Linked DNA regions of Medicago truncatula. The protein of the gene in region 2 interacts with the protein of the main gene of each other region in a pairwise test. Links are inferred from orthologs where the notes say so. Each region holds a gene or a part of one and is shown on either strand. Other genes may lie near its edges. The genes, in order: pre-mRNA-splicing factor SPF27 homolog and cell division cycle 5-like protein.

Evidence for each region.
Region 1: the proteins of cell division cycle 5-like protein (region 2) and pre-mRNA-splicing factor SPF27 homolog interact in binary tests that used the Arabidopsis thaliana proteins (3 or more experiments, as listed by UniProt). The link is inferred for Medicago truncatula from reciprocal best matches to the Arabidopsis thaliana genes CDC5 and MOS4.

The regions. Positions count from the first base shown.
Region 1 is NC_053049.1:49,194,985-49,205,847, reverse strand, and holds the start of pre-mRNA-splicing factor SPF27 homolog, read left to right. Parts: upstream 1-6,570; 5' UTR 6,571-6,646; coding exon 6,647-6,910; intron 6,911-7,000; coding exon 7,001-7,176; intron 7,177-7,264; coding exon 7,265-7,348; intron 7,349-7,871; exon of another isoform or gene 7,872-7,964; intron 7,965-8,673; exon of another isoform or gene 8,674-8,764; intron 8,765-9,480; exon of another isoform or gene 9,481-9,571; intron 9,572-10,287; exon of another isoform or gene 10,288-10,378; intron 10,379-10,863. Other genes in the region: peroxisome biogenesis protein 3-2, read left to right, coding at 199-430. UniProt on the Arabidopsis thaliana protein: Component of the MAC complex that probably regulates defense responses through transcriptional control and thereby is essential for plant innate immunity. Involved in mRNA splicing.
Region 2 is NC_053048.1:54,777,904-54,788,725, reverse strand, and holds the start of cell division cycle 5-like protein, read right to left. Parts: upstream 4,303-10,822; 5' UTR 4,154-4,302; intron 3,853-4,153; 5' UTR 3,817-3,852; intron 3,718-3,816; 5' UTR 3,642-3,717; coding exon 1,749-3,641; intron 825-1,748; coding exon 543-824; intron 1-542. Other genes in the region: protein PHR1-LIKE 1, read right to left, coding at 8,508-8,861, 8,931-9,000, 9,154-9,211, 10,003-10,042, 10,159-10,235, 10,323-10,500. UniProt on the Arabidopsis thaliana protein: Component of the MAC complex that probably regulates defense responses through transcriptional control and thereby is essential for plant innate immunity. Possesses a sequence specific DNA sequence 'CTCAGCG' binding activity.

The DNA.
Region 1 (10,863 bases), on a different chromosome or scaffold from region 2:
CAGCAATAATTATGTTATGTAATTTTTTTTTCTCTATATATATAGCACTAGCATTTCATTTTTGAGGCTCTGAACAAATCAGATGATGGCTGATAATGCTATTTCATAATAACAACAGATGATAGCTGATAATGCTATTTCAAAATAACAAGTTTCATAAACATTTGAAATAATTATTTCTACTTTTTTTTTTTGCAGTGCTGAGTTTGGGAGCGTTGTAGAGATATCTCTAAAAGCCGTGGTGGATACACTTCGCGAGCTCATGGGGACTACAAGTGTGCCACTGGCGAGAGCACTGCCCCAAGTTGCACAGATGTGTCCTTTGCTCCTAGAAGAACCAAGTAAAAATCAGTTCATCCAAATCCTTAAAAATATACCAGAGGTTGAACTTTTTCTCACTTTCCTCTACGCAAATATGCCAAGTGCATAGTGATGATTAGTATTTTTATGTTTCAAATTTCAAATGAAAGAAACCAAAAAGTTCGAATTCATTGCACAAAAGGCGCAAGACATTGTACACAATTTAGTTGAGGTTCGAAAGAGATAGTTATAGGTCAATTGTTAGCCTTCATCTTTTATAGCATGACATTTCCCTTTTGGTGTAATCACTATTCAGTAGTTAGTATTTCATAGTGCTCGTGTCATTAGTTCTAACTTGGCATTTGGAGGAGCCGGGTCAGTTAGGACTTTAGTTTGCTTTATCCACACTGCACACCTTAGCAAGGGAAAATGACTCTTATCATCGCTTCAATTTTATCGGATGTTCCCGAAGGGACAAAGAAAAAAAAACATTTTTATCTCCCAAATATGGAAACTATGAGATTTTGGTTTTATTTTTATATATAAATAAATTGGTCTTTCTTATTCTAAGGGTGTGTTTGGTAACACAAAAAAGCTAGCTTATAGCTTGTTGGACTAGCTTATAAGCTTGTTTTGATAAAATGAGATGTGTTTGGTAAAAAGCTTTTCTCACTAGCTTATAGCGTTTTTTAAGAAGCTAATCCAAGTAGTTTTTTAGCTTATAGCTTGTAGCTTTTTATACTTTCTTCCCATTTTAACCTTTTCTTAATTTTATTTTATTTTATTATAATAAAAAAAAACTACCCACTATCTTCTTAAACTAACCATGTTTACCATGTATGGCTTTTTAAATTTTCTTGTCCACTATTTTTTTTTTTTTTTACTTTGCTCATAATTCATATAATATATAATTTTATATAAAATTTATAATAAATAGTGAAGCACGTTTAGTTAAATAAAATTCATAAAAATAAAATAAAAATTGTTAAATAAAAAAATTCGATTGAATTCATAAATACATTTATTATTTTGGAGATGAAAATAATTTGAAATATATTTAAATATTTAAAAATAAATGCGTTAAGTGATAAAAATTATATATATGATATTAAAACAAATTAATCAAGCATGTCCTTTTATGTCATTTTATATTTATAGTCACTTCAACAACTAATTTTACCAAACACTTTTAATTTTAATCAGCTAACTTTTCAGCTATAAGTTATCAACCATCGGCTATAAGCTAGCTTTTCAGCTATCAGCTAGCTTATAGCTTTTTTTTACCAAACACACCCTAAGTGTACAAATTGGTTCATCTCCTATTGAAACAACAGTAAAAAACTAAAAAAAAATTGACTTTCTTATTCTATTGAAACAGCAGTGAAAAAAAAATTGAGAGAACGAGAACCCTGCTCAATATTATTTATTTATTTTTTTGGAAAACTTCACTCATCCAAATTACCAATTCAGACGCATTTTTCATCTCATCTTGCACGTCTCGTACGAATTTTTTTAGTATCGTATACAAAATTGCAAGGTAGAGAACCTTGTTATAGATTCTTGGTCTTTTAAGAAAATATATGTTTACTCAAATGTTCCTTTTAAAATCTTCGCTACAAATAGACATTTATATAGGCTAATATGCCATGCTAAACTTAAAATAAAGCTTTCGAGTTTTGACTTTTGACAGCTATCCGTCTAAATCTTTTTTATACTGGGTTTTTGTTCTTTAAGCAAAGTTCGGCAAGGTAGGATCATCTCTATTTTATACTTTACCTACTTCTTCTATATGGAGAGATAAATAAACAATTAAATTTTAAAAAAAATGTAAATAATTAATAAGGGTGTGTAACAAAAAAAAAACTGTAACAGTTGCAAGAGTAAAAGATAATTTGTTGTTTGTTTTAGTAACTAAGTTGCAAGAGTAAAAGTTGAGAGTAATAAAACGTAAAATTTGTTAGGATTAGAGTTCTTTAATCAAGCGTCGCACGTAACCTAATGACCATACATGGATTCTAGTTTTTCTTTGATATTATCATGTAACCCTCGATAACACCATTCGTGTCCGAACAATATTGTGAGATCAATTGTACCATTCAATAGTCGATGTTTCAAACTATTGAATGATTCAAGAGTCGGTCTTATCATTTAATCGATGATTTCTCAATCTATTGAATGATAAGAAAGCTTTAAGTTTGGATACAAAAGGTGATTATCAAAACATCAATTCAATGTCTAGAACTTATGTTTTGATAGATGATTATTCTAAACCTAGATTCAAAAGTATTTCTCAATCACAATTAAATCAAACATAAGCATTAAAGTGCAAGAATAACATCAATATCAAATCAAATGCTAGAACCATATATTTATAGATCAAAAGATTACATGTTTAGCTAAGATCAAGTACCTCTAATCCCAACAAAGGAGATTTAGCTACTCCTTGTCATTGAAGCCTTGCAAAAATGAATTGAAAGAGAATGATTCATTACAAACTTGTGATCTCTCAACAAATGAGGAAGAATCCACTTTCTATCACTCTCACTCTATGAAGAACAATCCCTATCTCTCTCTCTAAAAGTATTACAAGTTAAAAACTATGAGAAAAACTAAGATCCCCAATGAAATGATTAAAAGGGCTATTTATAGAATTCTTAATCTACATCAACTCGCCTCGCGAGTAACTCCATTCGCCATGGCGAGTTGATGTTTCTTCACCATTAAGTTTGAGCCACGTCACCCTTGAGAAGTTTAGGCCGCCCTAACTCGCCTCGCGAGTAAATTCACTCGCCATGGCGAACCTACTCGCCATTGCGAGTTGGTGGCGACTGAATAGGTTCTGCTCGCTTTTGCTGCTCACCATGGCGAGTTGGAGGCGAGTGACTTCATTTTTCTGCCTATTTGTACTTTTCTCCATTTTTTCTCTTTGTTTGATGTATTGAGTTCAAATCCTGCACAAATGGGTGAAGTAAGATAAATAAAGCGTAAAAGGGTAATAATCACTTATCTCTCGGCTTTTCCCTCAATAACTTGCAAAACAAGTAATAAAAGTGCTTTGAATATTCATTTAAAATACAACTTTCTAGCACTTATCAATAGTCTAGTAGATAGATATTCATCTTTTTAGAGTGAATAAAGGAGGTGTCTAAAATTCAAAGATAAGCTATACGAAACTTTCTTTACAAAATTTTGTTAAAAGAAATTTTAGCCAATTTTTTTATATTCTAACCTTTTATTTGCTCATACCTCATCAATCACTAATTTTAGAGTATTTTTATTATTTAATTTTTGATATTTTTATTTGTCAGTGTTTAATTTAGAGTCAATTAGAATAAATTGTTGCCTTCTTTATAGTTGCATATTCTGAACTCTTTAGGAACCAAGGTAATATAATGACGAAACATATGAATTTTTGAGTTTTCGGATTCATATTATATAATCTTAATATGGGTAAATTTGAAAACTTTGAGTGCGCATGAGAGGTTTGAGACCTTCGGATCAGGTCCCATCCAGAACAATTTGTGCATGTGTTTGGTTCCATTGTGGTGTTTTGAAAGAGAGTTGGGCATATCATAATTTATGTTCGGATATGTCAACTGAAAATATGATTTTGAGTACCGTAATTACCAAAATGAATTTAAATGTTTATTTCTTTTGAAATATATAAGGAGAACGTATTTTACTTTCTATGAAGTAAATGGGTTGTTTTTGAAAAAGTTTTTTATAGATTACCTTTGAAGAATAATGGATAATTTACCCACCAACCAATGAAAATGAGCAATTTGTTGGTGGGGTCAAGATAGTTCATGGATACCACTTAAAAATGTGCTTATGTGGCTAATGTGTATTGATTATAATAAATTACCCATCATTCTTCCATGGGTACCCTAATTCTCACCTTTTGAAAAATTACATAAACGGGTGGGTTTCGGGTTTTTTGGTACGTTGTCTCTAACTAACCTAGAGACCGAGGATAGAGAAAGGGTTTGAGAGAATTGTTGTTCCCACATTTGGTTTGGCTGTGCCACACGAGTAAATTACTCAAATGCCCTTCGGTAGTAAACTGCCGAAGTTTTTAGGAAACCGGCGGCAGTTAACTGCCGAGGAAAACCTCGGTAATTAACTGCCGAGGAAAATGTTATAAGAACAGAACTGCATAGGAGTTTCCAAAACTCCATTGTTGTGTTTTGAATTATCCAAGGTGCGATTTTGAGTCATTTGAAGCCATTACAAGCCAATTTCAATCACAAAAACAAGTAAGTTTTTTGAATCCTATTGCATTGTTGCTTTGTGGTCGAATTGTATGTTATTTTTTGTTAAATTTCGATTATATAGGTTTGATTATATTGATTTGTTGATTTTATGATATGTTAGGATAGTTTAGGTTAGAATGGTTAGAATTGTTAGGATAGTTTAGGTTAGTATAAGTTGAATTGATCGCCATTTTTTTTTTAATGTAGATATGTCTCAGAATCAGAATCAGGGTAACGTTCACGGTGATGAGAAGAAAAAAGAAAAATCACCTATGACGTGGCATGAAATTGTTTGCGATGGTTCCGAAAAAAAGAAGGGTTCGAAGGTGCCAGTGTACAATCACTCGAGGTTGGGGAGGAGCGGAAGGACATGCTATTTCGGTCCTCAACCAAAACAAGGTACCGCATGGACTGTAGCGGACAAGCCGATTGATTTGTGTGACGAGGAAGAATGAATGTAATGACTTTTAATGCCTAATTGTTTTGGATTTTTTTATGTTTTATTTTTGTGTCGCGCACATTTTGTTTGACATTATGGTATTTAGAATAAAATTGCATTTGGAATAAATAAATTTGAAAACAAAATAAGATATAAAAGTGTATATAATAATTAAACAAACACACATTTAAAGAAAATAATTAAACATAAAAAATAGAATTAAAAAAAAACACATATAAAAGTGGATATAATAATTAAACAAACACACATTTAAATTAAAGAAAATATTTTAACATAAAGAAAAAACAATTAAAAAAAATACACTTACATTATTTGAATTATACCAGAGTGGCAACGCCACATGACCGACATAAGTGTGGAGCAAGGACAAGTCAGCCGGTCCACCAGGAAAGGGAGGGTCCACAGGTAACACCTCCGGTGCAGCAGCTGCTGCAATGTCATCCTCGTCTCCTGCATCCTGCTGCTGTGGTATATGATCCTGGTCATATCCACCATCAGTCACATCATGCTGTACCTGATCCTGATAGTTCAGGTACTCCACACCAGTCTGGTCAACAGGCTGTGACGGGTCAACAACTTGTGACTCCTCAGGCTGTGTAGCCTTTTGGGATGTGGCCGCTCTGCCTCTCCCTCCGGTGACTCTGAGTCATCGCACGCCTACCACCAATCATCTTAGATGGATCAATGGGGTCCTGATCAGCCATATCTACAAAAAAAAAAAAATTAACATCATTTCTATAACCTAATCAAACACATTAAACCTAAACTAAACTAAACATAAACAAAATTAAACTCATTAAAAGTACAACAATGAACATCATTTCCATAACCTAAAATCATTTAATATAATCATCATTACAATAAAATTTATGTCTATCATTTTCATAATAACCTAAACATCATTCAATAATTAACATACACTTAATCATTTCTATACAACTAAATCATTTGTGTCCATCATAATTCTCCTAACCTAAACTAACTAAAAAATCAAAATACACTTAACCAAACTATAATTAACATCATTTCTATCATTTCCATAACTAAACTAACTAAATAATCAATAAAATTGTCATTGAGACATTTTATCAAACACTTTGTGTGCAAAAATTCAAATTGTGTTCATTTGCCACCATTCAAAGCCACATTAAGATTTAAACAACATAGGCAACAACTACATTCAATTATCAATTTCTAAACTACACATGCAATCATCAAATTGTCAATTTTGAAATCAACCCTAACCACATACAAACTACTCTAATTTTTTTAAAAAAATCAACCTAAACAAATTAACATTAACATTAAAATGATTGACACAACTTACTTGTGATAATGTGCACTTGATTTGCTTGCAATTCGTGAAAATGGATTTGGTGAAGATTGGAGAGAAATTGAGAATTTAGAAGGTTTTTTGGAAATGAAAGGTTCTGGTTCTGGTTCAGTATTCCTCGGCAGTTAACTGCCGCCGGTTTCCTAATTGCTATCAAAGGGCATTTGAGTAATTTACTCGTGTGGCACAACCAATCTAAACCTGGGAACAGCAATTCTCAAAGGGTTTTCGCTTTAAAACTGAATCGTCATTCATCAAATGCCATAAACGAAAGGGTAAAAATCGACGCAACAGTAAACCATGATGGGAGAAGGAAGAAGCAGCAGCAGCAACAGCAACAGCAACGGTGATGTTCTGATGCTTGAAGCTCCACCTTCTTACGGTAGGTCTAGCCATTCCGATGCCGAAATCATCGACGCATTGCCTTACATCGACGACGATTACAGCGACCCAAGGGTTAAGATCGAAGTCGACCGTCTCGTTGAAGAAGAGATGCGCCGCAGCTCCAAAAAACCCGCGGATTTCCTTAAAGATTTTCCACCTCTTCCCTCTTCCAATTTTCATGTAATTAGCCACACTCTTTCTCCGTTAGGGTTTTTGTTTTTTTTTTCTCTTTTAGATTTACGATTCTATTATCTGAAATTGTTGCTTCAGGATTATCCAATGATTGGTAGAGAATACGAGCGTGTAAGAGCTGGTAGGCCTCCTGTTTCTCTTGATAGGTCCAGATATGAATTAGAAGCTCCACCTGTTAATAAAAGGAACGATGAAACTGCTTGGAAACTTGCTATTCAACGAGCTCAACGACTTCTTCAATATCAAACCATCAGGTCTTCAATTTATATGTTTTTAATAAGTATGTTTTGACATTCATATTATCATTAACTTGTTTAACTAACTATTTAAGTTAATATGCAGAATGGAAAATTTGGATTTGTTGTTTAAACATGGCCCTGATGCATGGAAACAGCACAATCAACGATTGGAAGTATACTTGTCAAGGTTTGTTTGTTCATCCAATTATTGTGGCTCATATTTAGAGTAAACTGTTGAATTTTACATTTGTTGCTGTGTGGATTCAGTATGTTTTGTTCACTCTCTGCCTGTACCTGTGCAAATTTTGCTTATTTCATACCTTAGCACATGACATGAACATTCTTACATACCTCAGATTAAGCTTTTTGTTGAATTGGTTCTTGAGAGTCACTTTGGATAGGATAGGAATGTTTCTCAGTAAATGTGGTACTTGAGGTTGACGGCTTTAGATGACAACCTCGGATGTTGTATGCAATGCAATACCCTACTGGTTGGTGGAATGATAACGTTTTTGTTTTTGGATTTTAAGACTTTATTAGCTACAAAAGAAGAAAGAAAATCTCTTGAGGAAATCGTTGACCTCTACGTCCCTCTTAATCGTCTCAACCTTGATTCATTAGATACGTTCTTGACTCTAGCCTCTCCAAGTTCACTAAAGGCACCAGTCTATATTTTTCATTTTCATTTTCATTTCCACACACAACACAGCTGGCAATGATGATAAACATGCCGGTCTTACGGCTACCATTTACTTCTTTGGTAGTAGATTGATTACTTTCATGTTTAGGGTTTTCTGAGCCTGTTTTATTCATCTTTTTCTTATAAGTTTTTAATTTTTCCTTTTTTCAAAACAAGGTTGAATTTCTACATCTATGTCTTCTATCATGGGTCACTCTATTTTTTAATGAATAAGGTCAATGATTTCCTTCTATTTTCCTCCTGAATCAAGGTCAATCATGGTTGAAATTCTTCATATTTTTCTCTTGAAGAAATCAAGGTCAATCAGTGCTCTGTGGTAAATTATTTTGTACCTGCGCATCATTTGCTTACTTCATACATTTGCAAATGAAAATTCTGACATACCTGCATTAGGTTCTGTATGACTAAATTGTACATAGAATACTTCGTTCCTTTCTGTTTTAAATTTCTTCCCTAGTGCAATCGGCTTAAGCTTTTTGTTGAATTGGTTCTTGAGAGTGATTCTGCAGATAGGAATGTTTCATAGTAAATATGGTACTTGAGCATGACAGCCTTGGTTGTTGTATGCAATATCCTGCTGGTGGTGGAATCATAATGTTCTATTTTAATTAATTTTTTGGACTTTAAGACCTTATTAGCTAGAAAAGAAGAAATCTCTTAAGGAAATCATTGACCTCTACGTCCTTCTTAATCGTCCCAACCTTGATTCAATAAATATGTTCTTGACTCTGGCCTCCCCAAGTTCACTAGAGGCACAGGTCCATATTTTTTATTTTCATTTTCAAACGAAATACAAAGTCTGTTCCTTTAACTGGCAATGATGATAAAAGGCCGGTCTTACGGCTGCCATTTACTTATTGGTAGTAGATTGATTACTTTAAGGTTTAGGGTTTTCTGAGCCAGTTTTATTCACTTTTTTATTCTAAGTTTTTAATTTTCCCTTTTCAAAACAAGGTTGAAATTCTACATCCTTGTCTTCAATCGTGGGTCATTCTATTTTTTTATGAATAAGGTCAATGCTTTCCTTCTATTTTTCTCCTGAATCAAGGTCAGTCATGGTTGAAATTCTTCATATTTTTCTCTTGAAGAAATCCAGTGACAAAAATGAGATCAGTGCTCTGCGGTAAATTATTTTGTATCTGTACATCATTTGCTTACTTATACGTTAGCTAAAGAAAATTCTGACATACCTGCATTGGGTTCTGTATGACTGAATTGTACATGGAATACTTCGTTCCTTTTTGTTTTAAATTTCTTCCCTAGAGCAATCGGCTTAAGCTTTTTGTTGAATTGGTTCTTGAGAGTGATTCTGCAGTTAGGAATGTTTCATAGTAAATATGGTACTTGAGCATGACAGCCTTGGTTGTTGTATGCAATATCCTGCTGGTTGGTGGAATGATAATGTTCTAATTTAATTAATTTTTTGGACTTTAAGACCTTATTAGCTAGAACAGAATAAATCTCTTAAGGAAATCATTGACCTCTACGTCCTTCTTAATTGTCCCAACCTTGATTCAATAAATATGTTCTTGACTCTGGCCTCCCCAAGTTCACTAGAGGCACAGGTCCATATTTTTCATTTTCATTTTCAAACGAAATATAAAGTCTGTTCCTTTAACTGGCAATGATGATAAAAGGCCGGTCTTACAGCTGCCATTTACTTATTGGTAGTAGATTGATTAGTTTCAGGTTTAGGGTTTTCTGAGCCAGTTTTATTCACCTTTTTATTCTAAGTTTTTAATTTTCCCTTTTCAAAACAAGGTTGAAATTCTACATCTTTGTCTTCAATCATGGGTCATTCTATTTTTTTATGAATAAGGTCAATGCTTTCCTTCTATTTTTCTCCTGAATCAAGGTCAGTCATGGTTGAAATTCTTCATATTTTTCTCTTGAAGAAATCCAGTGACAAAAATGAGATCAGTGCTCTGCGGTAAATTATTTTGTATCTGTGCATCATTTGCTTACTTATACGTTAGCTAAAGAAAATTCTGACATACCTGCATTGGGTTCTGTATGACTGAATTGTACATGGAATACTTCGTTCCTTTTTGTTTTAAATTTCTTCCCTAGAGCAATTGGCTTAAGCTTTTTGTTGAATTGGTTCTTGGGAGTGATTCTGCAGTTAGGAATGTTTCATAGTAAATATGGTACTTGAGCATGACAGCCTTGGTTGTTGTATGCAATATCCTGCTGGTTGGTGGAATGATAATGTTCTAATTTAATTAATTTTTTGGACTTTAAGACCTTATTAGCTAGAACAGAAGAAATCTCTTAAGGAAATCATTGACCTCCACGTCCTTCTTAATCGTCCCAACCTTGATTCAGTAAATATGTTCTTGACTCTGGCCTCCCCAACTTCACTAGAGGCACTGGTCCATATTTTTCATTTTCATTTTCAAACGAAATACAAAGTCTGTTCCTTTAACTGGCAATGATGATAAAAGGCCGGTCTTACGGCTGCCATTTACGTATTGGTAGTAGATTGATTACTTTAAGGTTTAGGGTTTTCTGAGCCAGTTTTATTCACCTTTTTCTTCTAAGTTTTTAATTTTCCTTTTTCAAAACAAGGTTGAAATTCTACATCTTTGTCTTCAATCATGGGTCATTCTATTTTTTTATGAATAAAGTCAATGATTTCCTTCTATTTTTCTCCTGAATCAAGGTCAGTCCTGGTTGAAATTCTTCATATTTTTCTCTTGAAGAAATCCAGTGACAAATGAGATCAGTGCTCTGCAGTAAATTATTTTGTATCTGTACATCATTTGCTTACTTATACGTTAGCTAAAGAAAATTCTGACATACCTGTGTTTGTTCTGTATGACTGAATTGCACATAGAATACTTTGTTCTTTTCTGTTTTAAATTTCTTCCCTAGAGCAATTGGCTTAAGCCGCGGATAGGAATGTTTCACAGTAAATATGGTACTTGAGCTTGACAGCCTTGGTCGGTTTTGTATGCAACTGCTGGTTGGTGGAATGATAATGTTCTAATTTTTATACTTAA
Region 2 (10,822 bases):
TTGGATCAGATTAACACAAGACTACGCTTGCACCATACATTACATGAAGTCAACATATTATGTTAACTTTTTCTATCATCCATTATATGCCATGGGAATGCCAAACAAGGTCGAAAGAAACTACAATGTCAAACATCAATCTCAAAAAACAAAATGAACTGAAACCATACTTTCTGTGCATTTCTAAAATTACAAAGAAAATACATGTCACCGGTCACCCACGATAATGAAATGCAATTCCAACAGATCTCCATGATCTCCTACCCTACTGATTAGTTGAGGTCCAAAAATTATCAATTGCAACAGTTTTAAGTTAGGTGTATAGCATTTTATATTACAAAATCAACTTTGAAGAGCATTCAGACAACATTAACACTCTAGAATCTCAGTAAGATTGATGCAAACTAACTGCTCATGAAAGAAAATGAAAGCCGGTAACCAGCTGGCATGACAACTACAAAATGTGCCACCAACAATAATTGAAAAAAACACGGCAAGAAACAAAAATGTAGAAATTTGCATACAAGTTAGCAGTAGCATACCTCATACCCTTGCGTGAATGTTGTAACCTTCTTCTCAAGTCGAATCAACTTCTCCTTCCCGTCATCCAGCTTACTTCTCACATTCTCAAATTCATTCTGCAAAGCTGCTAGCTTCTCTGCATTTCCAGCAACACTTGATAGACCATAAGCGTTACGGGTATCAAAGTACATTAAATCATTAATGCAAGTTGTATGTGCTTCAACAAATTCCTCGAGGGAATCATTTTCATGCCCCATTGCCTCACGAAGATACTGGGCTTCATCTTTTATCAATTGATCAGCCTATTGAGAAAAACAGATAAATAAATAACATTCAACGCAGATATTATCATTCATCAACGTACAAGCTCATCTCCAATTATACCATAGTCATATTTAAGGAGTCAAATAATAATTAACAAGCAGTTTGGAAGTTTATATTACTATCATTTGGTGAATTAACATATGGGTCTTGTTAAAAAGTGCCCCCAGGGCACTCTTTAAGCATTCTAATTCAAGAAATTATCCACTAATAAGGTTAATTGTTTCATTTTCCAATGCATTAAATACAATAATTCTCATAAAAATTTACTATTTAAAGGTCTTAAAGAGTGCCCCAGGGGCACTCGTTAACATTTCCCTTAACATAAATAGGGAATAAATGTTGTAAAAGGTAATTGAAGAATCACTTGTGACAAAAATGAAAGTGGAAGGTGGAACTTGGGGAATCACGACTGAATCAGGAGGGGAATTATCTGAATTCACAAAAGAAGAAATGGAGAACAATTACGAGAAACTAAAACCAACTTCAACCTAATTAATCAAATGATTATAACTGGAAAAAAAAAAAAAAAAAAAACAAGGATGATACAATACATATTACATGCCACCACATTATGCAACTAGTTCAAAAAGGAGATGATACATAAATTAAAAAGATGTCCAAATTTTTTCTATTTAAATTTTACATAAGATTCCAGTGGTTTCGAAGGGGTGAAAAGGGGTTTCAGCATAAAATCGATAATGGCAAGTAATAATTGGACAAAGTACTAATAATTTCAAGGTCAAGATCATCAGAAAAAGCATGTGTATCATCTAAATGAAAAATCACATTGTGTACCAAAGGGTGAAAAGGTGAACAAGCTACTTAGTAGCAAATAAAGAAAAGCAAAGTAAAAGGCATAAAAACAAAATTAAAGGTGAGCAGAAAAATTAGTAAAAACATACAGATTTCATCTCGTCCTCCTGATAATCTTCTATGACAGGGATAGCAGGCCCATTTGCTGCTCGTTTGGATCCTTTCTTTCTCTCCTTATTTGCTATCTCTTCAAGCGGATACTTAGCATTGTCATGCTCAAGTAAGGCTAGAAGCTCCTTTCTTATCATCTCGTCGGCTTGCTCAATAGGGGTTGGTGGAACAAATGAACTTTTGTCTCCGTCAGCTCTTATCAAGGAGTTCCTAATAAGCTCCAGAGATGCTGGAGGAGGCCTAGGAAGTTCCCTTTGAAGGACTTTTGATCGTTTTCTAAGTAATGCCTGCTGCCGCGCCTCTTCTTCTGCCTTTTCTCTAGCCATTCTATCAGACATATCCTCTTCAATCTTCTCCTCGGGCTCTTCAACATCTTCTTGAATTGGTTGCATCACTATCTGGTACTCATTTTTAGGCTGTGGAAGGCTGCTTAAACCAGAGCGCAGACTTTTTTTCATATCAGCTTGTCTCCGTAGCTCGAGCTTAGCACTATCACGCATCTCCATATCTTCATTGATATGTAGCTCATCCCTGAGAGGAGTTCCCTTCGGAGTCATGCCAAAAGAAAAACCATCCCTTGCCGGTGTCATACCACTTCTGGGAGTAAGGCCTGCACTTCCCGGGGTTGCAGAGGGAGTCAGCAGCGGGTTTGGAGTGTGAATTTCCTTTTTCTTAGGAGTGACCCCAGAGAAATCTGAAGGATGCAACTCCGGGTTTTCTCCTCCTAAAAGTGGTGTCTGAGACTCCCTCAGCCTGGCCAAATTTTCAGCTTCCATCATGATAGCATCTCCTTTACTAGCTGGTGTTCTCTGAGGAGTTCTTAAAGGAGTCTTGGCTTGGTTGGGTGTCTGTGGATAATTAGGGAGAAGAGCACGGGTAGCACTGCTACCTTCGGTGAGTTCCTCGCTGCCCACAAGGTCACTGGCATAACCCAACTTGGCAATTTCATCCAATTCTTGATCGGAAATCTGAGGCGGTGGAAGCATCAGTTTTGATCTCTTTCTAACTGTTTCTGGGTCATTCAGCTTGTTGGCATGCAGAATAGCAGCTGGGGCATCTTGCCTCTCTGCAATTTTATTCCTTGCAACGTCTTGCTTTCTCAACTGTGCCTCAACATCAATCCTTCTTTTCCCCTCAAGTTCTTCAATAGTAGTAGGGAATGCAGGCTGCTCCACCTCCCTATCCTCATCAGCAACATCAAAATAACCCGGAGGAGGCCTCTTCTCAAACGGAATTTCTGCATTATAATCAATCCCTCTCCTTTTCCTCCTCCGCTGCCTTATATCAATCCCAGCAGCCTTCAGTTCTCTCTTTTTCTGTAAAGAAGCGAGCCTCCTTGCTTCCTCAAGCTGTTTCTCCCTAGCTTTCCTTTTTGCTTTTTTACCTTTCGTGTTAGCCAACCGAGCACGTGCTTCGGAAAGCATCTCCTTCTCGTCCTCATCCATATCAACAGGATCAGGTCGTGCAGGCTTCGATTCAGGATTCGGATCAATCTCCCCCGGACGCAATTTCCTAGGGTCATCACCAGGTTCATAGTTATCATCCTTAACACAAGCGGTGTCAAGGAGTTTCTCATACCGTTCAAGACACTGCGAAGGAGTACGACCAACAATGGGAGCAATGGTTCTCCACTGAGTAGGCATAAGCTTAGCAAGATGAAGTAGCTTCTCATCCTCTTCTCGAGTCCACTCAGTCTTCTTAATGGAAGGATCTAACCACTCATACCAACGAGCTTTACACTGTTTTGCAGATTTGCGAACAAGTAGGGACGAGATACGAGCCCACTGATTTTTACCATATTTCATAACAGCAGCTTTCAGGATTTCATCCTCGGTGTTTTTCCAAACACCTCCCTTAATCATAATCCTCATTTTGGCAACACTTTATTTGTATTCCTCTCACAAAACAGGTTGAACAGGAAAAACTCCGGTGGAGAAGACTCGTTTACTGCAACAGGAAGAAATATATAAACAGAAATCAATTATAATTGCTGAAAATCACGAAATTGGTAGAAAACACAAATTGAGAGAAGCGAGAAAATGATACCTGCGGTTTGGAGACGGTGGTGAATGCGTCAAAGAGCTGAAAAATTAACAAACATGATCCAATTAAGGGTTGGTTTGGAACAAGAAAAATGAATGGTATATAACTACCGCAACCAATCTGAAATTATCAACAATGACAATATGCAATTCCAAAAATCAAGTTCTGGGTCGGCCAAATTTAGGGTGAGCGGAAGAGAGGGAAGAGAAAACCCTAGAAAATCAATTGTAGTGGCTGAAAATCGCGTAATGTGCAGAAACAGGGAAATCAATGAATTATAAGAGGTTAAAATCGTAAAATACGTAGAAAACACAAATTGAGGGAAGCAAGGGATTGATACCTGCGGTTTGATGACAGCGGCGATAGATCTGAAGACGACGATGCGGCGGTGAATGAGAATGTGAGAGCGCGAGATAGAAAACTAGGGTTCTGATAAGAGAGTAAGGCCCTGTTTGGTTTGGTTTCACGGTGGAGAGTCCTATTTTTGTATTTTCATAAGAGTATTGTTGTTGACATATTTGGTTTAGCTGATAAACACGAGTAAATTACTCAAATACCCTTCGGCACTTAACTGCCGAAATTTAAAAAAACTGGCTGCATTTAATGTCGAGTAAAACTTCGTCAGTTAACTGCGGAGGAATTTCAAACCTGAAATTAAATAAGGAAATACACCTAAATTTTCCTTAATTCAATTTAATTCTTTAAACATTTTAAGGAATTAAACATAATTATTTTTATGATTTCATTCATATGATTTTGTTGTCATAAATGAAGAAATATGAGAGATGAATAATATCTACATTCGGTAATTAATGGACCTAATAAGTGTAAAAATTAAGCATTTGAATATTGTTTTGCAAATTACTTAAATAAAAAAAAAATCTTTGTGCACAATTATTTTAATGTAGAAAATATAACAATATATTATACCTTAAAAAAAATCGTTGTGCACAATTATTTTAACGATTTTTTATTATTATTTTTATTTAAGTAATGTGCAAAACAATATTTAAATGCTTAATTTTTACACTGATTTAAATGTTATTCTTAATAAGATATATACACATAAGTATAATACTGCAATTGTTTTAAACATACCAAAATAATGATTGAAACATTCAAAATCAATAAATATTATTAATGACAATTTATGGTTTTTGTCAAAAAAAAAAAACAGGTTTGAGGTTTCCTCGGCAGTTAACTGCTGAAGTTTTCATTTTTCCTCGGTGGTTTACTGCCGAAGTTTTCCTCGGGAGTTAACTGCAGCCGGTTCCATAATTCGGCAGTTAACTGCCGAGGGGCATTTGGATAAATTACCAGTGTTTCTCAGCCAATGGCGATGTGTCAACAACAATTCTCTTTTCATAATGTAACAAACTATATTATTTTTTTCAACGACGCAAATATTTTTTTTTTAAAGGAAAATAATATTTGTTTTATTAAGTAACACACAAACAATATAATAAATATTATATTCTTTAAAAAAAACAAATATTATATAAAATCTTCTTAAAAATAATATTATATAAAAAATTTATCTTTATGAATGATACCAACAAAATAGCATTCTTGTATACAAATTTGTTTAAAAGTATAATTAAAAATGAAAAGATCATCTGAGATTTTTTTTTTTTGACAAAATAAAAGATATTCATTCATTCATTCAAATTGATAGAGTACATCGATATAATGTAAATTCGCTAAAAACATCAAGGATGAATATGTGAACAGACTCACAACATCCATGTTAATAGCATAAAACGGCAAAGTACAAATGCCTACACATATGACTATATTTAAATCTTCGGAATAACCATGTCTCCAGATCTGCAACATGGATGCCGCCGAAGTCATCGATTGGATCTGCACTGGATCGAAACTGATCTGACAATCTGAACCGATCAAATACCTGAGAGAAACAAGAAAAACAAACAACGTCGCACAAAGACGACGAACAAACCAACGTCGCACGAAGACAACGAAATCACAAAATAAAAAACGAAATAGATGTGAAAATCACTTATTTCAATAAAAGGGAAAGAGAAAAACGAGATAGAGGGGTGATTTTGGGTCAAAAATTGACCATAAATCACCCCTCTTTGGTGGATGAAGGAGAAGAAATTAGGGTTTTCGTGACGGCTCACAGGAGATAAAGAGAAAAGAAGATCATCCAAAGAATTATTCTTCTTCTTTATATTAGTATAGAGGAAGCCCCTGATATGGTCCTTAATATTAGGGGTTCACCATGATCCTCTCAAAATTACCTTCAATAGCATGTTTCAATAAAAAATACCTTTTCTTGGTCCCACACAAAAAAACATCATTTTTTAACTGCAACAATTGATATTACTTTTGTGCCCTTCTTTTAACAACAAGAAACCATAAGTGCAAAACCTTTTCTCTTTCTTCATCGTCAGTATTCTCTCTTAATTCTCCATATTTTTCTTCTTCCCATTAACATCACAAAATCCAAGTATGAGAAAGTGATTCACAACAAATGCCTTAAAAACTAATAAATGAACAAAAACAAATTCTCCATTCTTTTTGTTGTCTTGATTTGAAGATGGGTCTGCACATTGTTGTTGTTGTTGATGGCTCCCAGGGTGAAAGGTTTATGAACCTAGAACACCGACATATGGCTCGGTGATGAAGGAATCATGTTTGTGAATCCTCATTATCATGGAATTGTTTCGATTCCTGTCAGGGCCGGCCCATAGCCCGTCGAGGCTGGGCGATGACACCGGGCCTCCAATTTTTTGCGGCCCAAAATATTTTTTTTTATATGTAAGACACGAAAATAATGATTATATATCTATTAAAAGCAAATTTAATCAATTTGTGCAGCTTGCCTTAGTGGCGTGGCTATTTTTTGTTGAGTGTGAGGTCATGTGTTCAAGATCCACCAAAGTGTGATTTTAAATTTATTTTTTTTAAATAACTTATTTATTTTTTTGGGCCCAGTTTTTTTTTTTTTTTGCATCTCTTATAAAATTAAAACCGGGCCTATGAATTTGTTAAGACGGCCCTGATTCCTGTAATATTCCACAAAAACAAATAAACAAACATCAAACACTAAACTTTCACAGTTATTAATCAAAGAAAAATAGCAAAACACAAGGTAAAATTAGAAGGGTATAAAATCAATTGAGAACATGGTCAATTCATGTATTTATCAAATAGAAGAAAACCGTGGAGTTATACAATTGATGAAGGTGAAAGAGAGGAGAGAAATTGTTCTACATTTCTGGATTTTTGGTGTTAAATGGAAGGACGCAAAAGTAATATCAATTGCTGTATTTTAAATCAATTTTTTTTCTGTGTGGGACCAAGAAATAATATCTTTTCTTAAAACATGCTATTAAAGGTAATTTTGAGAGGATCATGGGTGAACCCCTAATATTAAGGATCATTCTAGGGGGGCTCCCTAGTATAGATATTGTATTTTTTGATACAATTATTTATTAAAATTTAGCTTTCTTATAAACAAAATCCAAATTATAATAATCATATAAAAACAAAAAATTCACATTTCATCAATATTATAAGATCTTCTAAAAAATCAATATTATAAGATAGTTGCATAAAAACATATAGGATTCCTCTAAAATATGGGAAATTTTATGGTACACCTAAAAATTTGAATGTATTGGTATACCAAGTCCTTAAATTAATAGTTAAATGAGTTATTTTTTGAAGAAAAAAATAATATTCTCTATCACCTATAATTATAATAACTAAATCTTTTTTACCAAAAACATCGACGAAATAAATTTTAATTTTTCTGAATTGTGTGTGTGTTAAAAACAGTTCATGTAAAAAAGCAATAGAACACAAATTTATCCATGTAATTTTGCATTCTTCATATTTTGGTAATTTAGCATCGTAGTCGCACATAAAACAATGATGTGGACATAGAATCTTGCCACATGAATTTTCTTTCTTAACCTGCCAATTTTATTTTTTTGCCTAAAAAAATTGATCAACAAAAATACAAACTTTAGAAGTCAATAGATCATAAAAAAGTCTCTTAAACCTATTAGACCGGCCTACTAAAGTAAATATAAATAATATTTTATTGCTAATATTATTTTTATTATTAAACAAGTTTAACGTTACAAACCGGTTTATTTTTGAACTAGTTTTTAAAATTGATTTTAAAACACTCTCCGGCCCAAAATCCACTTTCCCACTTACTGTATCTCACAAACCAAAGAAGAAAAATAATCAAAGAGGGAGAAAGATAACTGAGCGAAAAGAAGAAAGAGGCCAAAGGAGATAAAGAGAAAGGCTGAAGGAGAGAGAGGTAGAGAGAAAGAAGAGGAAGAAAGAGATAAGGGAAAGAATGGGAACGGGCTGCATTCTCATCTACAAAGAAGAAAACAGAAAATCACCATTGAAAGGTTAGAGTCATCATGGAAATTCCTACATAAAACGAAACCCTCAAGCATGCTTGTCAGAAAAATAACCTTATAAAACGTAAATACCACATTAGTTGAAACATTCATGGATCCAATACTATATCTACAAGTTCCATGGGGTCTAAAACATGTCCAAGAATATAAAACAAATCTAGGGAGTGAAATTTATTTCATCCCAAAAAATGAAGTTTAAGTCATTGCTGGCTACTGTTAAAGTTGATTATATCATTATGATAAGCAGAAGGAGATATTCGAGCATGTTGTCTCTAGATGCCATCATTGAATCTTCGCTCGTTTTGTTGGAGGTACGTCAGAAAACTGATCATCTACCCTCTCATGTTCATTGGTAACTTCAGCTTCATCTGCCATTTGCTTTCTGCTTACATCATGGGAACTTTCTCCGGGTATGTCTTTAGGAATATCAGCGTTACATCCTGATTTATCGCATTCATCTTTTGAAGTTTTTAAATTGTCCACCGGAGAAGAAGGCAGCGTCGTGTCCAACACTGCAGCAGAAGGTGCATTTGAAGGGGAAGGGCCCTTGTTGTCACCAATCTGTTTCTGTTTCTCAAACATCATCTCAAGATGTTTCCCTTGGTTTTCAATTTGAATCTGCAACTTCCTTTGAATCTGTATAACAGTAACAATATCAGGACATGCCAAGACTTGAAGTTCCGGGTGATACTAACAATAATGTACCTCAAGTTGTTCGTGAAGCCGCTTCTGGAGTTCCATCTGCAACCGTAATGCTTCAGTGATTCCCTTACTCCTGTAACCATAATTCAAGGAAAGTTTATGAGCATTATTGTTCATTTCAATGAAGATTTTTTTTTCCCATGGAACAACCATCTACAATGGAATTGTGATTTGTGAACAACAGGTATCATGTCTAAAGCTAAAAGAAGTTAGAGAAATGACTCACGTTTTCAAGTCTAGAGATTTCATTTCCTCAATTGAACTCATCTTTTTCTCAGAAGTTTCTGCAGGTACAGAAGAAGATTTCAATCACCATTCACATTCTTACTCTTATATTTTGACAAAATTTGAAAGGAATTTTGTTAGGCCTACTGTTAGTAAACATTATTAGGCAGTTATTATTTTATTAGCCAGCCATTATTACATTAATATCTAACAGTTATGTATTAGGAAGCAGTTATGTTTCTAGGCAGTTACTAGATAAATAGGGAATCTGAAGGACAATGTCAATAGCAAGAGACCAAGCCCTCGAATTCTTGGAGGGAGAGACCAAGAATCTCGAATTCCTAAGCAGCCTATTGTGTAATCATATTCTATTATCAATAAAATTAAGTTATTTCTATTATATTTATGTGTTTGGTACCGGTTTCTATCAAGTTTCTGTGTGCATCAAATATTCTTCAAATGTAACAAGAATAGGGTGGAAAAAGCATTCTACACTTGCCTTTGAATGAGAGAAAGTAGATAAACTTTTGAAGTTTTAAATAAAGGAATAATTGGATTTTTACTTCTACACTTTTCTTTCTTCTCTACCTTTCCTTTTCACTTTAACAAATAAGAGATTGTTCCAAATTTTAAAATGATCTTTTGTGTTTCATCCATGTCTTCTTTTTATCAATCCCAACATAGGACATGAAGAAGAAGAAGAACACATACAAAAAAGACATTTGAAGTTGAAATAAAACATCTTTCTCAAAACTATAGGGGGATAAAGAAGCCACACATCCACAAAAAAAAATTGGTAGCAAAACCTGCTGTATAAAACAATAAGGATTACAAGTACACTCTTGTATACCTTCTGGTGACTCAGGTTTGTATCTGGCAGTTCTATACTTCTGAAATTAAAAGAACAATTAATTTATAAACAACATTAGATTATAAAAATCGACATACACACCAGTGACGACACCAACAAGCTCAATTTAAGAGGACGGAAAATCCATATATGTACCTGGAGGTGGCTTTTTACATGGTAGATAGTAAGGCCCTCAACATTCATTAGATTCAAGACACCTTTTGGAGTAGCCTCTGCATGTTAACATCATTAGATGATGAGAAGAAACGTTCATGAGAGAAGGTCAAACGAAGGATGAAATTAGGAAGAAGTAAACATACTCTCGCTACCACCAAGCTGGTTGACTGCTTCCACAAAAGCTTCGTGAAGTTCTGGACTCCAACGCATTCTAGGCTTAGTTTGAGATGCAGTTGATGCTGATGCTGAAGCTGAAGCAGGATTACAAAGATTGTTGACTTCTCCAGATGATGTATGCTGCTTCTGAGAAACATGCATCGCCTGCATCAGAAAAGTAGGATATACTGTTAACAGCCACATACAACATATAGGGGAACAGAGAATGAACTATATACACAAACTCACATACACATGGTGACAAATTCAATTAATAATAGAACTGATCATCCAAATGTGCGACGCAGAAAGTTAATAGAAGTGAAAACCTAGGTGAGAAGAACTGTATGTGTGTTTGTTTTGTTTCTTTGTCATAAACCTCCGGCTCATGAGGCAAATGGGCCCTAGTGAGTTCGGCTGGGAGGTAAGTAAAGTTTAGACTAGGATTGTTCTTGTTCGAGCCAAGATTAGAAATCAGATTGAGAAA